2 linked regions of the Caenorhabditis elegans genome follow. The protein of the gene in region 2 purifies or fractionates together with the protein of the main gene of each other region. This does not show direct contact. Each region holds a gene or a part of one and is shown on either strand. Other genes may lie near its edges.

What was found. The genes of interacting proteins can lie anywhere in the genome.
Region 1: the proteins of ptrn-1 (region 2) and cyk-1 purify together in Caenorhabditis elegans (affinity purification with western blotting, with the first as the bait; one study listed by BioGRID). This does not show direct contact.

The regions. Positions count from the first base shown.
Region 1 is NC_003281.10:7,023,545-7,033,792, forward strand, and holds cyk-1 (WAPL domain-containing protein), read right to left. Parts: upstream 5,662-10,248; 5' UTR 5,653-5,661; coding exon 5,173-5,652; intron 5,037-5,172; coding exon 4,943-5,036; intron 4,559-4,942; coding exon 4,497-4,558; intron 4,450-4,496; coding exon 4,213-4,449; intron 4,160-4,212; coding exon 3,983-4,159; intron 3,936-3,982; coding exon 3,736-3,935; intron 3,687-3,735; coding exon 3,404-3,686; intron 3,355-3,403; coding exon 2,994-3,354; intron 2,947-2,993; coding exon 2,810-2,946; intron 2,760-2,809; coding exon 2,108-2,759; intron 2,062-2,107; coding exon 1,527-2,061; intron 1,480-1,526; coding exon 974-1,479; intron 929-973; coding exon 507-928; intron 462-506; coding exon 294-461; 3' UTR 98-293; downstream 1-97. Other genes in the region: rfl-1 (NEDD8-activating enzyme E1 catalytic subunit), read left to right, coding at 1-22.
Region 2 is NC_003284.9:17,024,660-17,034,907, reverse strand, and holds the start of ptrn-1 (Patronin (microtubule-binding protein) homolog), read left to right. Parts: upstream 1-4,707; coding exon 4,708-4,761; intron 4,762-5,246; coding exon 5,247-5,348; intron 5,349-5,607; coding exon 5,608-5,709; intron 5,710-5,760; coding exon 5,761-5,874; intron 5,875-6,387; coding exon 6,388-6,473; intron 6,474-6,765; coding exon 6,766-6,986; intron 6,987-7,173; coding exon 7,174-7,234; intron 7,235-7,286; coding exon 7,287-7,435; intron 7,436-7,491; coding exon 7,492-7,772; intron 7,773-8,154; coding exon 8,155-8,276; intron 8,277-8,434; coding exon 8,435-8,661; intron 8,662-9,222; coding exon 9,223-9,398; intron 9,399-9,570; coding exon 9,571-9,777; intron 9,778-10,174; coding exon 10,175-10,248. UniProt on the Caenorhabditis elegans protein: Required for microtubule stability and anchorage by binding to the minus ends of microtubules.

The DNA.
Region 1 (10,248 bases), on a different chromosome or scaffold from region 2:
ACTACGAATTCAGCTCATCTAATGCATTTCTTCTATTTCACTTTTGAATGTCTCGGGTAAAGTATGCCTGTGTTCCATGTCAATAAAAATAAAATCGTTTTTAAACTCAAAATATTTACCTAAAGAAAATAGAAAGGAAAAGTGAACTGATGAAAATACAACGAGCAATTGAAATGGAACGAGAAGAGGGACCCTGTGAATGACAATTAAAGTATGAAAAATGTGGCAATAATACAGAAAAAATAGAGACGGAGAATGACTAGATCTATAGATAAGACAACCGATGTGAGCTTTCAGAAATCATTAAGACGTGCGAGAAGATCGTCTGTTGATGGCACCACTGTGCCTGATGATGATGATGTAGCCGTGTTTGATGATGCAGGACCAGATGAAGTTGACGAGGAACCCGTCGGATCGTTTTCTTTGTGCGTTGGTGAGATTTGCGATGTTCCATTGATATTCTGAAAGTTAAATTTCGAAAAGTTTCCACATATAAAATATGTTACCGTAACTGGAACAGCTGGTTGCCCTTTCCTTCTCACTCGAACTTTGAGCTCATTCTGACCAATCGGCAATCCAACTCCAAATGCTTTAGCCCTATCAAGCGCCGTTGTTGGTTTTACTGATGATGGAAGTTCCATATTTTGTCGTTGCAGATCATTTTGAGGAACGTTGCGTGATCGAGCAAACTGTCCGGAAAGAACCGGTTCCGATGCGCAGCCAGTGAGATCTTGAAGCTGACCCAAAGCATTCTGATGTCGTGATCTTTGCCGATCAAGTCCTCCTCCAAGTCTTCCACCTCCGCGAGTTCGAGCTGGCAATCCGGAACGAGGAGTTCGAGAATTTGTGGCAGACATCAAGGTTTGAAGGAAATCAGCATTTCCTGTAGCACGCTCCAACTCATCGAGCACACCAGCCTTATCGGCAGCTGAAAAAATTATATTAAAAAACAATTTCAAAAATATCAACTCACCAGTCGAAACTCGAATCATCGCAGCCGGAGTTCTTGGCACTCTATTAATCGCCTGTCTCTCTTGTAACGGCTTCCTTTCTTGTTGAGATTGTTGCAGCTGCTTCCGCTTCTGTGTCTCAAATTCTGCTTCTTTTCGTTTTGCTTCTGCTTCGGCATCCAACTCTTTCCAAGCATTCGAATATTGCTCAGAGAAGGTGCGAATATCGGCGAAAAATTCTTCCATCGGATATTTTTTGTCGTTAAATGCATAATACTTGACCAACGACTCCCAATCGTTTTTCATCTTTCCACACATTGACGAAACTGTGGAGAACTCTTTGACAGCTTTTTCGTGGAACGGCCGCATCTTCTCGTCGAATAAATCACGTTCTCCTTGAATTTTGTACACTTTTAAGCAGTTCTCCAGTTTTTTAATGTTATTCTCTGTCAGTTGAACAGTTTTTCGAATTTCATCCGCATTCACTCGGGACGATTCAATGCAATGATGGAAGTCGGTGAGAGCAAATCTTAAATTTTTTAAATTTTGAGAAAGCAAGTAAAGGAATCTACTCACCGTGCTCGTCTTGGATCGATTCTCTTCATTTCTTCAATTAAATGATGTAGAAGAGTATGCCGATTATCGACATCTTTTGTATCAACCAGTCTTGTCAGCATTCTCATGTCGAACGCGTAAGCACTCGAATAGTTTTTTGTCGCTCCGCCCATAAAGTTTCCAGTCGCCAAAACAAGTTTCAAAAATGTTCGGAATCCTTCAGATGCTCGTACTTCTTCGCACGCTTCCATCACTGACGACATGGCTGGTTTCAGTTCATTCAACACTTCAGAGAATCGCATTTTGAATAGAACCAAGTCGAGACGAAGCGGAAGACCTTGAATTTGGAGCAGACGAGTGACAAATTGTTCACCCTCGGGCATTTCCTCAAATTGAGCCTTGTTCACCGCTCTCAGCTTGTCAATAAGCTCCTTCTCCACTGGCATTGCTGATCGAAGTTGCTCCAAGAATCCGACAGTTAAAACCTTTTCGTTGACTTCCAAAATCGCCAGCTTGAGCTCTGAATGCGACATTTTGATTGATCCTTGAAGAATGCCTGCAAGAAAAAGATCATAAAAAAGGATATACTTCTTCGAGTTTACCCAATTTTTGAAGTAATTTATCGTCATGAATGACTTGTGCTGTCTTCACTTTCTTTTTGCTATTCAAGACACCACCAAGAGTACCACTATTTGCAGCAGGTTTCGTGGCGAATTTGGTTCGTAAACGATCGAACATTCGATCGCTGGTCAGCTGTTCTTCGTTTGTTCCAACCCAGAACGACTCTCTTGGAATATCCCGAGGGTTGATAGTATGTGCTCCCCATGGGAACTTTCTCATGGGACCATCAACCTTTGGAACCTTCTTGGGTGGAAGGTAATCAGGTATCACGGGAGCCATCGGTGCGAACATGCCTGGAGGAGGTGGTGGTGGCGGTCCGCCCTTGAACCCTCCCGGTGGTGGTGGAGGAGGTGGAGGTGGACATCCTCCAGGAGGCGGCGGAGGTGGTGGAGGACCTCCAGATATTGGAGGCAATCCTCCCGGTGGAGGCGGCGGCGGGGGTCCTCCGGTGATTGGAGGAAGACCACCAGGAGGAGGAGGTGGAGGCGGCCCTCCTGTGATTGGTGGGAGACCTGGAGGTGGTGGTGGACCTCCAGTTATTGGCGGTAGAGCTGAAGATCCACCAGCAGATGTGGATGGAGCCGACAAGTTCATCTTCGTTGGCGGAGGAAGAGGTATTTTTGGATCATTTATCTGAAAAATAACATGTTTCAATCAAACCGCTTCTAAAAAAGTAAATATACATGTTTTCTCAGTTCTTCAGCTTCTTTCTGGAAATCACATAATGTTTTCCAGTATTCTCCTTGCATTGCAACAGCTTCCTGTTTGGCCGACGTGGCTTGTCGAACTTTTTTGGCCATCTCTTCGTCTTGCATTTTATCTGTAATTAAAATTATTTAATTTTTCAATATACTCTCGATCACAAACCAATGATCTCGGCCACAGGAACCTCAAACACAAACTTATAATCCGCTTGTGGATCGATTGGAGTTCGATGCAGAAGAATATCTGATATGGCTGTCTCGATGAGTTTCATATACGATCTTTTCGTCGACATATCCTCATTAGTAAGAGTCATAAGCTGTAAAATTGAAAGGAGCACTGTCTCGGTTCCGGTGGCTTCAGAGTTGGCGGCAAGAAGTTCAAAACATCCATCCAAGGTATCATATTCTCCTTTTACATTTTCAAGCTTCCCCATCAGTGTTTCCAAATCTGCATTGTGCTCAGTGAGCATGTTCTGAGCAACATCCCGAATTTGCGAGTTTACAGTTTCAGATGTAGTGAATTTCTGGAAAATATCTGGGATAAGATTATTTTTCTGAAACAATCAAATTTACCTCAATGTACTTGTGAAGTTTATCTTTTGCAGCTTCACTCCTTAATCTCATTCGTGCTTGCCACATCGTCTCTTCTGTCCACATTTGATCATCACTTATGTTACGATCGACACCATTGATCATCATATTTATCATCAGAAGTACGTACATTCCTTGTTTTGGATCGCGGGATTCTAGAAAATCGATGCAGCTGATGAGGGGCCGAAATCGAGAAACTGGTTCATTGAGCCGTTTGGATTCAGCTTTAGCTATTAAGGACAACTCCATGAACATCTTTTGTTGACTGAAATGCATTTCAATTAAATAAGATTTGAACTGTTCAAAATTTTTACCCAGTCATTTCAATCGGAGTTGACAGCGTATCATGTTGAACAAAAATCAACGTATAACATGTTCTAACCACATCAACCCGAATAGCTCGAATCTCAGCTGCTTCATGATCGTTTTGCTCTCGCCTGTTCAGGACGCATAATGTTTGAATGAGAAGTGAGTATACAGGAGAGTTCCGTCGCAATACAAGAACAAGGCCAACCTGAAATAGTGTAGAATTAGAATTAGACTGAAAACATACAAACTTACATGTGTATTAATTAGCGTTCGGACACATCTGACGATTTCTTGCAAGAAATCAATCAAATCAAGCTCATATTTCGAGCCAACTTCACTGCTTCTCAGTCGTTTCAAGACTAATGAGTAGAGACAGCAGATAAGATCAGCTCCAGTGCGACCAGACTCGTCATGAACTTCTACGGCGAACTGAAAATAAATATGTATTTTAATAGTAACAATATCTATCTTAAAAAACGAACCTTATTAAGAAATGAAACACCTTGACCAACTAGCTGAACCCGTACAGTAACAATATCCTGCTTGCATTCCGGAATGTTTTTCGTTTTCAATATTTCTCCCAATACTCGTACAACCCATTCCGGAGACCTTCCCTTCGCCTGATTATCTTGTTTTCTCGAATTCTCAATCATCATTTTCATTTGATCAAGTGGCGTATTAGAAATAATTTTATCAGCTTCGGGCAGACCTTTGTCGAGCTGCAAAATTAGTAGAAATATAATAAGAACTCTATAAAGAATATTACCATAATTTTCCTGAATTCTTCTCGTATTTCGTCTTCAGTTCCTGACAAGGCAAATGATTCTCCTGGAACTATTTTATATTGAAAATGGAGATCTTCGAAATAATTCAGTTTAATGCTCGTTTAAAAGTGAAATACGGTCAATGGGAAAACAATTTGAAAAACGCTTCCTATGACGCTAAAATTATTAAATATCATAATAACATGTTTTAAATCTACAGTCAAAAATAAGTGAAAGAAAAGTGGCAAAAACTCACAATCAGTTTTCACCGTTTTTTCACAAATCACATTGTGAAATAATAAAAAAATTTCAAAATATTTTTGAGAAGTTCTATGACATTTTGACATCTTAGCACCATAGGAACGGGTTTTAATTTCAATATTGACCGTACTCTACCTTTAACTAGCGACATAATTTTTATTTTCAAGATTAAGAAAAAAAATATTACCTGAAGAATTTGAAGCAATCGAGAAACCTCCAATACTTTGTGTGCCTGCATATGTACCGTAGTCATTGTTTGAATATGACGATGATGGAACATTCTGAAAATAAGAAAATATACTTGTGGGGAAAATATTAATTTGAGGATTTTGCAAACTCTAATTATTATTATTACTTTTCTCTAATAATAAGATGTTATTTCTGTATTTTTAGGTAGAAGAATTCCCAGATACGAACATTTAATTTCTGTCGTTGTTTTCGTTTAAATCTGCTCGATGAGAACAAATCAGTCCATCTTCCAGAACCATTCGCTCCACTTAAATGAAATGGACTCCTACGACTAGCAAAATCAGCAGCTCCAGCCAACATTGAATGTCTTTCAGCGCTTCTCCTTTTGAATTTCTGATTAGGAACTTGATCTTCCAAGAAATGAGAAACAGTTGCATCTTGTGCACGAGTCGCTTTTTTCTTTTCGCGCAATTGCACACGAGGCTCGTCTATATCAGAATTTTCAGAATTCGGGTGAAGAAACTGCGCTTGTAGAGGGTCTAGAATTGTATTTTTTGGAGCAGAATTAGAAGCTGATGGTGTAGGAGTCACGTCTTCATCGTCATCCGTTGAATAACTTGAATGACGAGATTGGGTAGGAAGTCGATTCATATCAGCTAGTGAAGCTACACGTGGCGTGTCAATTGACTCATAATCATCGCTAGACATTTTTAAGCTGGAAATGTTTCAAACTGAACGAGATTTTGAACGGAACGAATTGAATTAATAAAGTGGAGCGGATTACCGAAACGGTCAAAATAACCTCAATACAGGTAATAAAATCTAATCGTAAATGAAGGTAAAACCGTGAATTGAATTGAAATTGTATTGACAAGTGCAGAGAAATCAAAAACCAGGGAGAAAAATAGTGAAGAAATGAATAACCGATTGGAAAATAATTTTCTTACGAAAAATAGAGACTTTGTTATTTTCCATATACAGAAAACCAACTAAAAATTGAAGGCAATCAGCGAACTCTAGAAAAGTGAGAAGAAGGGGAAAAAGAGAAGTGGAATGTCATCTGATTCTTGGGGAGAAAAATACAAAAATGAAATCTATTCAAATTGAATGGCAGGCAAATCGACAGGGCATGCGGGTCGTTGGATGAAAAAGTGAGAAATGGAGGAAATGTGTGAGAACCTAGTGATAAAAGAACAAAATAAATATAAAATAAACACAGTCACTTCGGTATTTGGAGAAAGCGAAAAAGGGAGAGGAAGAGAATTTGAGAAGTGCTCCGGAAAACAAGAAAATGAACTCGGGAATGGAGATTAGCTCATTCTTCATTAAGTTTTGAAATAATATGTTTTCAGCCAGCATATAATTTGCTTAAAATCTAGTATCTGAGAACAGCCTATTTAATTTAAACTCTCACGTTTTCGCGGAAATTCATAAACTGCAATCCTACATTTTAAGATATTTATTACACATCGTTGAGTTGATTGGGATTTTCGTCCTCATAAATAAAATATATTTAAAAGGAATCCAACTACTTGTTTTTTGGCGGCTAACATAAAGCTCGTTCATTCTTGAAGGAAATTTGACACTGTTTTACAGTATGCAAATCCCTTGCTCTCTTCTCTTTTTTGTCTGATTTTTCCCGCCAAATGGGTCATTGGGCACATGTGAAGGAGATAAGAGGACTCATGGAGAAAGTAGAGAAGGAGAGACGGTCAAAATGGAGACTCATGTCAAGTGGACAGGCTGGTGGTGCTTTTTGAGCATATGATTATCATAGACATATCACTGTTGACAGAAATATGAATGATAGCGTGTTCGCCGGCCGGATGCTCTACAATGTGTATTTTCTATTCACACATGCATGAAGTCACTGCCGATCGTTCAAAATACTGAAGTGCAAATATAAATTTTAAAGAAAATTACTACATGTGCAATGATCGCTTAATTTCACGAATGATAGAACACCTTAAAATGTCTAAAAATGTTTTCTGGATACGTTCTCAAAAAATATGTGATAATTCTACAGTAATCCGATGTTAAAGACTAAGATTTCTTCAAAAAAATTCGGTGCCTCATGCTGGAATCGAACCAGCGACCTTCTGTTTACTAGACAGACGCTCTGCCACTGAGCCAATGAGGCGGACAGAAAACCGGATAGTAAAGCCGTTGAGAAGAGAGAGAGAGAGAGATACGAGACAAAGATATCAAGGCAATTGGGTGGGTTTTTTAACACTGAAAATAAGACAATTGTTTGAAAACTGAAAATTTTGTTAGATAAACTTTCAGAAAGTAACATTTAACTTCAAGAGGAAAGATTTCTATGATCATTGGTAACTGATAAGCTAAAGAGCAAATAGCATAGTCACATAGACATTTAACAGAGAGAGAACACCTAGATATTTGGTAAACACCTAAAAGAAAAACTGTTTAAGTTGCGAGATGTGACATATGAGTTTAGAAACGCTAATTTAAAATTAGGCAATTGTGGGATACACCTAGAATAAGAATAATTTAAACAGATAGAAGTGACACCCTTTCAGTTAAGTCCAAATGGTATACAACCAAACTTTAAAACGAAACGAATTGCGCCAGACAAAACGAAATTCTTCCAATTGACTGACCGATGGAAACTTCTCTCTCTTCAACACAAAACATCTGTCCTCTCGTTCCAAATCGCTAGTGTTAACGGGCGTCAACTGGCCAGATTTGTTTTTTTTAAGGTTTCTGGATACATTTTTTTTTAAAATTATCTAGGATCACCTAGATATCTCTCTCTAGGATATCTAGGATAACGTCTCAACAATTTCCTAGGTTTAAAATAACCGTTGGTTCCGAAGAACTTATGGTACATCGTTAGGCATTTTAATAAGAACAAAATCTATCAAACAGCAATGGAAAAAGTCAAAGGCTCTCTCTCTCTACTGGAGCTTATTGAAAAAAAAACGAAATGAGTAAGATGCCAGATGACCCAATCAACCAACTGCCTGAGGAGAAAGGAAGAAAAAATGGGGAAGAGTATGACTAATAAGAACGGAAAATATTTATCAACATCTAACTAATTCTAAAAATACTAAAAATTCTAAAACTAAAATAGTACACTTTATATCACAAATTGATGAAGATACAGAAATTTAAAAAGCTTTTCAAGTGAGAAATATTCTGAACTACTTTACTACAGCTGGCTGATAACATTGATAAGATTGGAATGTCGCTAGTTCAAAAACATGTTTACATCAAATCGGTAATCATGAGGCTGAATTTGAGGTTCACTTTTTTTTTTGGTAGTTCACAGACAACTTCAAGTAAGTAAGTAAGTAAGTAAGAGAACAGCGGAAATGGTCAAAAATGAAAATGAACATTCTTTCTATTGGGCAATCAAAAAATTCCTGTGAGCCATTCGGACAAAACAAAAACTGAAGAAATAGGCGATTTCTCTACGAAAATGAGCCCCCAAGGACACATGCTCGTAGTACTAGAATAAGGAAAGTCACACGCAAAATAAGAAAGGAACTTTACTACAAGTAAAAAATAAAAATTAATTTACAAAAGGACCTTGAGATGCGAAGTACCACTAAATGAGTAAAAAGACGGGACTTTGGGTCTCGTTACCACTAGCACACTCCTGTTCGGACACAGTGCCTCACGGTCGCCGCCAAAATGTGGTATTCAAATGTCTTCAATGTGAATGGAAGGTGAGATGAATGAAAGAGTATTCCGATCAGTGGAGACGCAGAGAGTGCTTCCCCATGTTTGAGGGTGAGTAAGGGACAGACATCATTTGGCATGGTGCCAGATGTACTTGGTATTGCGGAAGAATGATGTGATCGATGGATTTGTGGCACGTAATAATATTAGCGATTGATAAAAATTGTAAGCTGTGTAAGAACAAAGTAACAACTGTTGTTTTCTACAAAAACCAATCCCATTAGCAACCGATTCTAACAATTATTCTACAGCAAGAGGACGAAACGGTTTAGCGGTTTCTAATAGTGATGTTTTCGAAGAAGACTTTCTTTTCGCTTTAAAATTCAGATAATAGGGGATATAAGGGTGTTTTATTTTGGATATTTTTAAAACAATAAATTTACATACCTTTTTGCCCAGAACTTTTCTATCCTTTTTCGAGGTGCCATTCCCAGAGCTGTTCGAAATGTTGGATGAACTTCCACCGACACCTTCCTTCTTGTCCAGTCCTATCATCTTTTTCATATTTCTGTGCGATGTCTTTCCAAGTTTGGATTTTCAGTCTGAAAAAAAGAAAGAATTGATTTTAAAAAATATGGATAATTGATAGGATAGAAATAGACGACTGAAAACCACAACTGAAATTGAAATTGAGAAACAAATCAGGCATTGGTCAAATTAGACTGATTTGATTTGGTAACAACGGGAACAACAACACGGAGATCGGTGGAATTTATAGAGGAATAGTGTTCCACTAGGGCACGAAAAAAGACTAATGATTTTGAATTTCCAGTAGGAATAGGGGGGGGGGGGGTCTCGACACGAAAATGTCAAAACTTGCAATGAAAACTAGTGAAATATACCTAGACAGCTCTTTAACACTATTTTAAAAATCAAAACAAACATAGTTTCCGCCTAGAAAAAAAGTTTTGTTTGTATTACCGTCCTACCAGCCATGCATAATTCACAAAACAATATGAAAATGATTAACTTTCTAGATTCAAAAAAAGACACGTACGGAGAAAAATACAAAAGTTTCAAAAGTTTGCATCTGATTTCCCTAATTCTTTAAGTGTTATAATCTCCAAAAACCCGACGAATGAAAACCACAACTGAAATTGGAATCTCGAATCATCGAGAAACCCAGAACAATAGTAGTAATCAGTGTGAAAAAAAAATCAGTAATTTTTACGACTACTATAACAATTCAGCACACCGTCTTTTCACAACAATGAAAACAATCGGGAGGCATAGCGTGGACGTCATGATGATACTATTTTGTGATTATAATAACACCTTTCCGCATAGTTGCGCGTTTCACGACGACAGCAAAACTTGCCTGTCTGCGATTGTTGAAAATTGTTTCACGGTAAGATTATGACAGACAGCTGGATGGGTCTCGTGACAGGATTTACATGAGTTTTTACTAGATATTGTTCAATTTTGTAAATTGCTTTTTAATCGTTTCTGATGTACATCAAAAAAGTGAATCTGACTGAATCATGGAAGAAATTTAAAGTTTTATATGAGTTGGAAACGACTTCATGAACCACCTTTAATTTATAAGTAATAACAGTTACTATTATATCGGAGATTCTCAATAGATGTTTTTATTGCCGG
Region 2 (10,248 bases):
TAGAATAGCTAATCAAAGAGTGATCTCTTGTAATGGTCAGTTTTTGATAGGAATTATTGATATTGTTTTGTTTTGTTTTTTAATCAAACTAAGATTGTTACTAGAAATGTTTTCTTATTACAACGAGGTCGGAATTTAAAATCATTTTGGCTCTTGATTTTTAAATTCGGAACATTTTTTAGCAACTTTTTCTAATCCTCCAAAAATTTGAAAGTTTCTATTTCAAATACGGCAGACACTTTTTTGCGGTTTTAAAAGCGGTTTTTTATTAAACGTGAAACAAATTAAAACAATTTTTTTCAAGTGACGATGAACTTTTTTCTAGTTAATACTGCTTAACTTTGCTTTCAATAAATTTTCTAAACCCATAGTGATAAGCAACATTTAAACCCTCCCCACTTTGTTGTCTAATCCTCTTTTCTTTTGACATTTTTCCACCCAATTTTTCCCCAATTTTTGTCACATTTAAGAAACGAGATGCATCCAAAATAGTTATAATCGCATCAATCCTCGTGCTGTTGCGATCATTCCGCTAATTAAAGCAGTGAAAAACATCGAAGAAGATGGATATTTGAAAAGACATTTTGGGACACGTTTAAGAAATTAGAATTGATATAGGGATGTAGGAAGAAAATTTAATGAAAAAAGTTCATATGAACTTTTTTTGACAATTTGGAGATATTTTTAGTCTAATTGGATTCGTTGATGTTAATGATTTTAGAGTATGTTCACAATTTCATTTAGTTTTAGAATTCGAACATTTTTAAAAATAATTGCTTCTAATGTAACATTTTAGAGATTGTGACAGCGTTAATAAATAGAAATATGAAAGTTTCGTATTTTATTGGCTTTATATTTATTTAAGTATGAGCCATTTTTTTTCAAAAAAAAAACACATTTAAATGTATTGAACGTTTTTTTTTCTCTTCCCAATTCTCTCCATATATCACAACATGTTTCTTCCCTTATTGTTTCTAACATTATGCCTATTTATCTTCTCAAGACTCTCAGTGTGTTCCCATATTCAGTGCTCCAACTTTTATTTGCCAATCTTAGTGCTCTCACGGAACACGGGGTTCACATAAACGGAGCAGCAGACAGCGAGTGAAACAACAATTAGCATAACCTGTTTTGTTCGGATTTTTCTGCAAAATAGTTAAATGCCTGAATCGATACTCAATTCTCATAGTTGGTGGGAGGACACTGGGATGCGCAGCGCGAGAACTACTTGTTGCTTGATTAATGAGGTCTTTCTCTCCCTCAAATGGAAGAGAGAAATGAGGGGCAGAATGATGTTATCAGAATTGAACAGAGTATGTGTGGTCCAGTTTTCTGTTCATATTTTGATTCATTGAAAAAATGAATTGAATTTCCAAAACTTTACTAAACACGAAAATCATTATCAAATTGTTAATCTAAAACTAGTGAACATAGGTAGACGGGTTTTAAGTGAACTGTTACTTGTGTAGATTTTGATGCAAATTGTAGGTTGTTCGTATTATTCTTAAGATTGTTGCTTTCCTAAGTCTAAAAATGCAAATCAGTTTCACGTTTCGATTAAATTATTACGTTTGAAAGAAATGGATGGTAAACGTATTGGAAAACATTATTAGGCGACTGAAATATTTTTAGGCAGACAGTTAATTAGTGGCTTGGCTTAAAAATATTAAACAAAAGAATTAGGTTTGTTTTAAATAATTTTGAGCAATCTAGAGCACAACGATGCTAGCAAGCTTTCAAACTTTTATAATTGGTAGCCCTAACGTAGTAGAATATGCTTACATTTTTATAATTTGCCTTCAATTTCAATCAAATGTTGTCTCATCTTCATTTTAAAATTATTGTTCATGTTTCAGCTCCAACTCAGCATGCGTGATAGTTGTTTGGTGCACTCAAACTTAGAACTACTAAAATCCTAATACACCATCTAGGCGTAGACCTTCCTATATTTTTCCTCTTGGGTCCAAATTCGATTTCAACATCTGTACGCGAGAGTTGTTGGCAAACACCCTCAAAAACTGCAAATAAACCCTCGAGTTCTCTTTTTTTTCCATATAATTTCTCCCAAGTGTGCAAACATCTGAAAGTGAACCTTTAAATGTGTCAATTATTGTATAAGTAGGTAATATATGTTATTATAGTTTATGAGGTTCATGAGGAAGACAATAACTAGCATTTATTGGCTGCAGTTAATCAGGTATTTTGACACATGCTGATGTACTTCTAATAAATAAAAATTCTAGTTTATTCCAAAAATTTTTGTTGACTGTAGCGTTTCTTGAACTCATCTTTAATATTTTGTTAAGATCATCTTTAAAAATTCCATATTTTTCTGTTAAGAAAAATACAAATTTATTTTATTGAAATTTTTACAGTTCACAAAAATACAAGTTATGAATTTATTTAATTTTCAGAGAGTTTCCTTCACTAATCTTGTTTCTGACAGTTTTAGATTTTATTTTCTTAATTTTTAAACTCGAAACAGTTTTTATTCCCAACTTTCTGTTGGAAGTTGAATATATCGGTGTATGCCAATGAAAAATATTCTGAAAAATTAAAAACTATAATCAAAATTTGAGCTGCTAAACTTGTCGTGCAAAACTGGTTTTTTAATGAGGTCCTCAAAAACATAATTGTAAATTTTTCTCATTGAGCTTCTATCAGGTTGTCCCATAAGTTTTTGTACTTTTTTTCAAATATTTTTCCAAAACTTCTAGAAAGTTTTAAAATTTTTTCATCGTAGGTCGTGTCAAGGTCGGGTCGTCCCCTTTCAGAAAAGATTCATTTCATCCATTTCTACTTTGCCACGATGACAATCATCAAACTTGAACGTCGAGACGTTAGATTGCTTCTTCTTTATGAATTTCGTCTTGGTCATTCAGCAATGGAAGCGGAACGAAACATATGCGGTGCGATGGGTGAGGGAGCACTCTCTTATAATACAGCAAAGAGTTGGTTTCAAAAGTTCAAGAACGGCGACTTCAGTCTCGAAGAAATAGAACGTTCTGGGCGACCGGTAGAGTTAAATGAAGAAGACCTAGTGAAGCTGGTGGAGGAAGAGCCTCGTCTTAGTCTTCGTGAAATGGAAGAGAAGCTTGAGTGTTGTCATAGCACAATTGCACGTCACTTGGGTCGCCTTGGTTTTACTTCAAAACTTGGAATTTGGGTGCCTCATGAACTTTCGGCATCACAGAAGCTCACTCGGGTCAACGTTTGTACTCAACTTCTAACTTTTCGTCGAAAGTTCGATTGGCTGAACAATCTGGTTACTGGAGATGAGAAGTGGGTGCTCTATGTTAACCATTCCAGAAAACGTCAATGGCTTCCGATCGGTGAGAAAGGAATACCGACGCCAAAGCCTGATCTTCACCCAAAAAAGATTATGATCTGTGTCTGGTGGGGTGTTCAAGGACCCGTGCACTGGGAATTGTTGCCAACTAATAAAACTATCACTGCTGATTACTATTGTGCCCAATTGGACCGAGTTGCAGAAAAGACCAACGGAAAATATGAAAAACTATATTTTCTTCACGATAATGCTAGGCCTCATGTCGCCAAGAAGACTTTCCAAAAGCTGCATGATCTTGGTTGGACTGTTTTACCGCATCCACCATATTCTCCAGATCTTGCACCAACCGACTACCATTTGTTCTTGTCTCTCAGTGACTACATGCGCGACAAGCAATTCGACGACGAAGAGCATCTCAAAACTGAACTCTCCACTTTCTTCTCATCGCGTTCGCCGGATTTCTTCTCCCGTGGCATCATGATGTTACCTAGTAAATGGCAACAAGTGGTGGACACTAATGGTGAATACTTGTGTGAATAGTACTACTTGTCGCTTGAGAGAAATAAATTTTTTTCAAAAAAAAAATAGTACAAAAACTTATGGGACAACCTGATACTTCGAAAAACTATGACAAAATATTTCCACCTGCCCACCGATTTAAAAAACCTCGGAGAACACCGCAGCAAGCTCCAATCTAATTATAATTAAGGCAAAATCAATACGAAACCGTGAATAATACCTCTTCATGTGTAGAAAAAACCTTCTGCGTCTCTTGCTCCTCTCCTACATTCTCCCTCTATCTCGACCACCGCCAGTTGAGGGAGGGAGGCGAAACGGTCAGCAGCAGCCAGCAGCAGTCATCTTTTGCTGTGTTGTATGTGTGTGTGTGTGTGTGTGTGTGTGTGTGTGTGTGTGTGCCCCAGTCGTTTCCTTTTCCTTTCTCTTCTCTCGTTTTCTTGTTCTTCGTCGCCTCCACCATCCCGAACCCAGGGCCGACAAGTGAGATGCGGCGAGGGCACCCCCCAACCACGAGCCCTCGGCGGGTTTCTCTCGGCCATTGTTAACCCCGGCCCCCGTCCGTCCTCATCCTATGCAAAGCAGTGAAGTGGTGGTGGTCTCATTCGCAAACCCCCAAACCACCAAACAACACATTATTATGCCCAACACCACACAAAGTTCGAATTTTTCCTGCCCTTTTCGGTATATAAAATAGGTTACACTTTAAAAAAATCTGAAAAAAAGAGTTTCTTCCTCAAAACTTCCCTTTGCGACTCTACTTCTTTTCCCTCTCTCTTGTTTAACCACTTGTGTTTGTTGTGAAATCGAAGTCGCATATCCTCTATCTTGTTCCATTTTTTCGTTTTTTACACTGCTACTTGTAACGTTTCTTTTGTTTCAGAAACCCAGGGGTCCTTGCAATGGACTTCCCTTTGCCGGCTCTGCTTGCAATAGAGGATTATGATGAAAATGAGGTTTGTGGGCATTTTTAAATAGTAAAAAAATTTAAACTTATTAAAAATACTAATCGAGTAAAATAAATCAATAAAAAATAAGACTTACCCCAAAAGGTATCGAGGTCTAGATAATGAAAATGGTAATTCAACCAAAACATTTAGTTAAACTAATTTTTTAAGATTTGAAAAACACTCTTTCTAAACCTAAAGTTGAAAAAAAGATTGCTGGAATTTTTTAAATGTTAAACACTGACATTTTTTTTTGAATACTCTGAATTTTTTCAATTTAAATTGTACTTTTTTTCCTTCACCCCGTTTATCCAACTCAGCGAAACGCAGACCTAAAAATGCAATGCCCAAAACTTTTTGAAGAATTCTGTCAGAGGCAATGCATTTTTAGCAGTGTCCTCTGCCGGGCAATAGAATACGAAATGAAACATCACCCCGCAACAAGTGCACCAAAAAGAAATGCGAATAGGATGATAAAATTGATGGAATTTCAGGGTAAACTAGCTGCATCGATTCGATGGTTAATTTCACGGGTTTACGAAGAAAAACGAGATATGCCGGATAAATTAAGGGACGGAGTGCAGAGGGATGAAAATGTAAGTTTTTATTTGACTCGTGCTTAAATTTAAAAAAAACTAATAAATTCAAATTTGAAAACCACAATTTTCAAATTTTTCATCAGAAATATTATTATTTCTAATTAACTGCTGAAATTCCAAATTGAATAGCTTTTGAAAATAACTTTTTAGAAGCTGCTTAACTATCAGAAATCTTAGTTTTTCTGTAACGAAACAAAAAAAAGTATCCCAATATCTCCAAAACCAAAATTCCACAACAACCTCATCAATTATTCAGGGACACTTTCAAATTGACGAAGCCGTCGTCGGAGCCCTGTGCAATGGTTCGTTGTACGCACAAGCTGCTGCTAAGATATTCAAGGAGTCAGCGCTAGTTACTGTGAGTTTGTTCGAGGATGAGCAGCTTGTTCACTATTAATTTAAAATTCAGAAAGGCCATGGAGCAGTTCTCGCGGTGCTGACCGATTATGGAATCGATGTATTGCACGACGGAAATGAATTGGTGGAGGAGGCGCAGCTGGTTGCTTCGGCTCCTTTTAATATGGTAAGGCTTTTTATGATTAAAAACATAATTTTTTGTTCTGAAGACTTTGAATGCACTTTCTATTTTAGGGAGCTGCCAAAGGGTACGAGAAAATTTTTTTAATTTTCCAAAAATATAGTTTTGTTTAGCGGTGTTTGAAAACCTACGGAATTGATCATTTTGTTTTATTTGACATGAAAATAAGTTAGTTATGCATTGGAAATTTTGAAAGTACCTCAAAAAGTTCCTTAAAAAGTTTAAAACTGCCAAAATCTTACTTGACAAGTCACAAATTTCAGGTAGTTTTGAAGATTTTTTTCATATCTTTCAGCATAAGTACGTGCTGTTCTGAAATAGATTGAACTTTTTTAAACATAATTTTCAAACACTTTTTGTCCAAATTAAAAAAATGGAAGGATATACACAAGTACCGTTTTTCATTACAAATTTTTAAGATTCTTTAAATGGTACACAAAATTACACAGTCTACTTCTGAAAATGGTATTGAAAAATTGCAAAAAAATTTAATTTCAGTCTGCACACCTTGCAATAATTGATGCTCTTATGATGGCACACCTTCGAGATGTTATCCCAGTCAGTCGGGTGGTTGAAGCAGTAAGGTTGGTTAATTTTATCAAACTCAAACTCTTGCGTTGAAGCTGTTAATGACTATAACAAAAACACGTGAGACAGAATTTTCAAAAAAAAAAAAATCATGCTTTCGATTTGATGCTAAATTCACATATTTTCAGTAACTCTGCTATTTAGGTTTCTTAAAATTTTAGCACACCCACCTTTTCAAAAAATTCCCCAGCAGTTAAATTGATGCTATCAAAAACTAACCAGTTTAATGGAATTTATTTTCTTATTTATCGCAACAAAACTTCCTCATTCCACTTTCCCTTATTCCAGCCGTCACACAGCTGTGGAGCCCAGCGAAAAGCCCATCGACAGTGTGGATGCTCTACTTTTCTGGATAAATAAAATATGTCTTCTAGTTAGAGACGATGTAGAACGGGAGGATTCGAACACGAATATTCCGGAAATGGAGGATTTGTACGAGGATATTTCAGATGGGCAGTGTTTGTGTGCTCTATTGCATTGGTACAGACCGCATGAAATGCCTGTAGCTGGTGAGTTTTTCTCTCTCTTAAGATTAGGACCATGACTTTTAGGTTTGAGACACTTTAAGCTTGACAATTTTTGAGTACAACATATTCAGTTAAATTTGGTCGACAATTAAGTGATAACTTCAATATAAGCCCAAGGCGACACTCAAATCTATCCACTACAAACTAATTTTAAAATGAAATATTTCAGATATTTCGTTCAACGATTCAGCGACCACAAGAGACTGCCAATATAACTTAATGTTGTTACAGTAAGTCACCTCATTTTGTGTGTCACTTCACACCCTCTTTCCCCATTTCCAGACTATTCTGCCGACACCACCTCGCAGTTGACCCATTCCACTTCGAGATCGAAGATCTGCTGTACCTGCGTGACTCACTACAAATGAATGTGAACGCCTTCCTTGCTGACCTATTCGTTCAATTCGAACCGCCAGTTACACCAGAACCAGGTAATTACTTCAACCTATCTCACTCTTCCACCATTACTGAAAAATGATGATTCTAGTTGAAACACCACGCATCGGACCTTCTCCTCGACGCTTCGTGCCGGCATCTGCAATTCCTGACCTTAGAGCTGCAAATGCGGCGGCGAGAAGTTCAATGCACAATAGGAATCGACCAAGAATGTATAATCCACCTCCAGCTGTTTCACATTCTCAAGGCCCGTCGAGATCAGTGAGCAGAATGAGCCAGGACAGTTTATTTTATTCTCGTCCAGCATCGATTGCACTACAGAGGAGGAGCATGGATCAAGATTCTGTGACCGATTTTCAAACCATTCGGCAGGTATGAAAACTTTTTATTTGTTAAAGCTCACGTGTAGTTGGTGAGATTATTAATTTTTAAAAACATTCGCTCTTATATTTTAGTCTAAATTTCCAATATTGAGTTACACAAATTTGACGGTTTTTTTTCGAGAATTCTGCACTACACGTTCTCGAACTCAATGAATTCTTTTTTATTTTTGTCAAATAATGAAAGTCCTTCTTTAAACTTGAGCTCGCGTTAATATTATAGAGAGATACTTATATTTTGTAAGTTAAAAATATTTGAATTGAGCAGGAACAAGCGGGTTTTATAAAGTTAAAATAAATGCTAAAAAAAATTAAAACATGTAAACAGAGTTGTTATATAAAAAAAATTTTACATAAAAATAAAATCATTGCAGGGTTTTGAAAACCAAGCTGGAACGGCTCAACTAAATCGATATGATGGCAGTGTGACTGCATCTGTTCGGCTGGCCATGGAGGAAAAACGGAGAAAGCATGATCAACAGATGGCTCAGATGAGGTGAGTTTTTTGTTTGAAAATCGAAAAAAACTTCCCTTTAGAAAAATGACAGTGGAGAAATTTTGATTCACATCAACGGTTTTTGAACTTGAATAATGCGCTGGTCAATATATGCCAATTAAAAAACTGCGTTATTTTCGCTTCCTACTTTTAATTAGTTTTAGCTCTGCGAACGAGACGGAGCGACTCGAAAAAAGCAAGGCCGCATTTTTTGCACTCCGAAAAAACGACAACGACCAAACGAGCAAAGGAAAAGAGGAGTGGTACGACCATTTTGAAGCAAAACTACGAGCGTTGGAGCTGAGAGTGGGATTAGAAGAAGGAGAGGATGGAACTCAATCGGCCAGATTGAACAGAGCCTCTTCCCAGCCTAGTGTGGTACAAGGTATGCCTTTGAGTATTTTCAGTTTAAAAATAATTAATTAAGAGATTACCTCGCGGTGTAGTTTGTACACTGTTCAAAGTCTAAAAAATTGAATTCACGTCCGAAGTACATGCTCAGTCATGCGAGTGAACATAAAAAATAAATGTCTAGAACAGATTTGCATCCGAACAAAAAAATTGCGGAAAACTAAAATAAAAATTCATTGACCGGAAAATTGAATAATTCATTCCGTGTTCTGCTCAATCGCAGAGGACATATTGGAATTATTGAAGCGTGTTTTGATGGAGCAAGTACGAGAGAGGTTCAAATAAGTTTTTTAGCTGAATTTTTCTGTTTAGAGCGCAAATTGGAAAGTACAAAATGTAGGGAATTGTAAGATCTCTCTCAGTTATTTCAAGCTCTTTCGTGAGTATACTGTAATATAGTTTTTGAGAATCGGAAAATTGAATGCATCCTTCGAAAAATTTCTTGAAAACTTTTCTACAATATTTACCTCATTCTCCTTGCGAACCCCATCATCTCCCTAATCTCCCGCATTACCAAAACAAACACATATTTTAGCCGGTCAAACATACCCAGCCAACTACATGACATTGCCGATGAACGCAGCTGCACAAATGACACAGTCTTATATTCAACATCCACAAACCCCACACGACTACTACATGCAGCAGCAAATGCAGCAACAGCAGCAGCAACAGGCTCAAGCTCAGAGCAACTATGCGAGTCCTTCTCAGGTTGGTGAGATGAATCTTAATACGTTTGATGAGTTTTCAAATTTCACAGTTCATATTTTTAAGAGCAAAAAAAAACTGACAACTAAAATTAAATAACTAGGAAATTAAAAAAAAACCCCCCCCCCCCCCCCCCCGTGAGTGACTTGCAATAGTTAAATAAAAACGATTTCAGCTCCGAAACAGCTTGAGCAACGGAATGATCAACCACGCGGGCTATATAGTTCAATCAATGTACCCCGGTGATTATCAACAACAGCAACAACAAATGCAAATGCAGCAGGGACAAATGCCAGTGCAGCCAGTTGGTGCATACACTCCGGAAGGATATTTCATTCCACATCACATGCAGCCGATTCCAGTACAACAGGGTTATCAACAGGTGAGTCTTGAATGTGCAATATTGTCCTGACGGTTTTAACTAGATTTATAATTAACGAGTACTCACTAGGTTCATATGAACTACTTACCATTCACTAGGGAAACTAGTTCAACTCAAAAATAAGGAATTCGGCAGCACTTAACTGACACGTGGAAAGAGAAGTTATGGTCTTAACATAGAACACGCTGCCATTATTTTGAAATGCCCATTGTGTTAGCTTTTAGAACATGTATCACTTGTCCAATAATTTTCTTAAAATCATGCAAAACGTCTCGTTAAAATCAATGTAATTGAAATTTGAGAAAAAAATGGAAAAAGTATATCAAAAGCTATTCATTTCAATTTCCACCACCCATTATGAGCCCAACACCACATTGCAACACATTTAATTTCCTAGATGCCTCAACCCGGAATGGGTTTTAATGGAATGCCTGCCACCAGTCAACCCGGCTTCAATATGGAGGGCTCTCC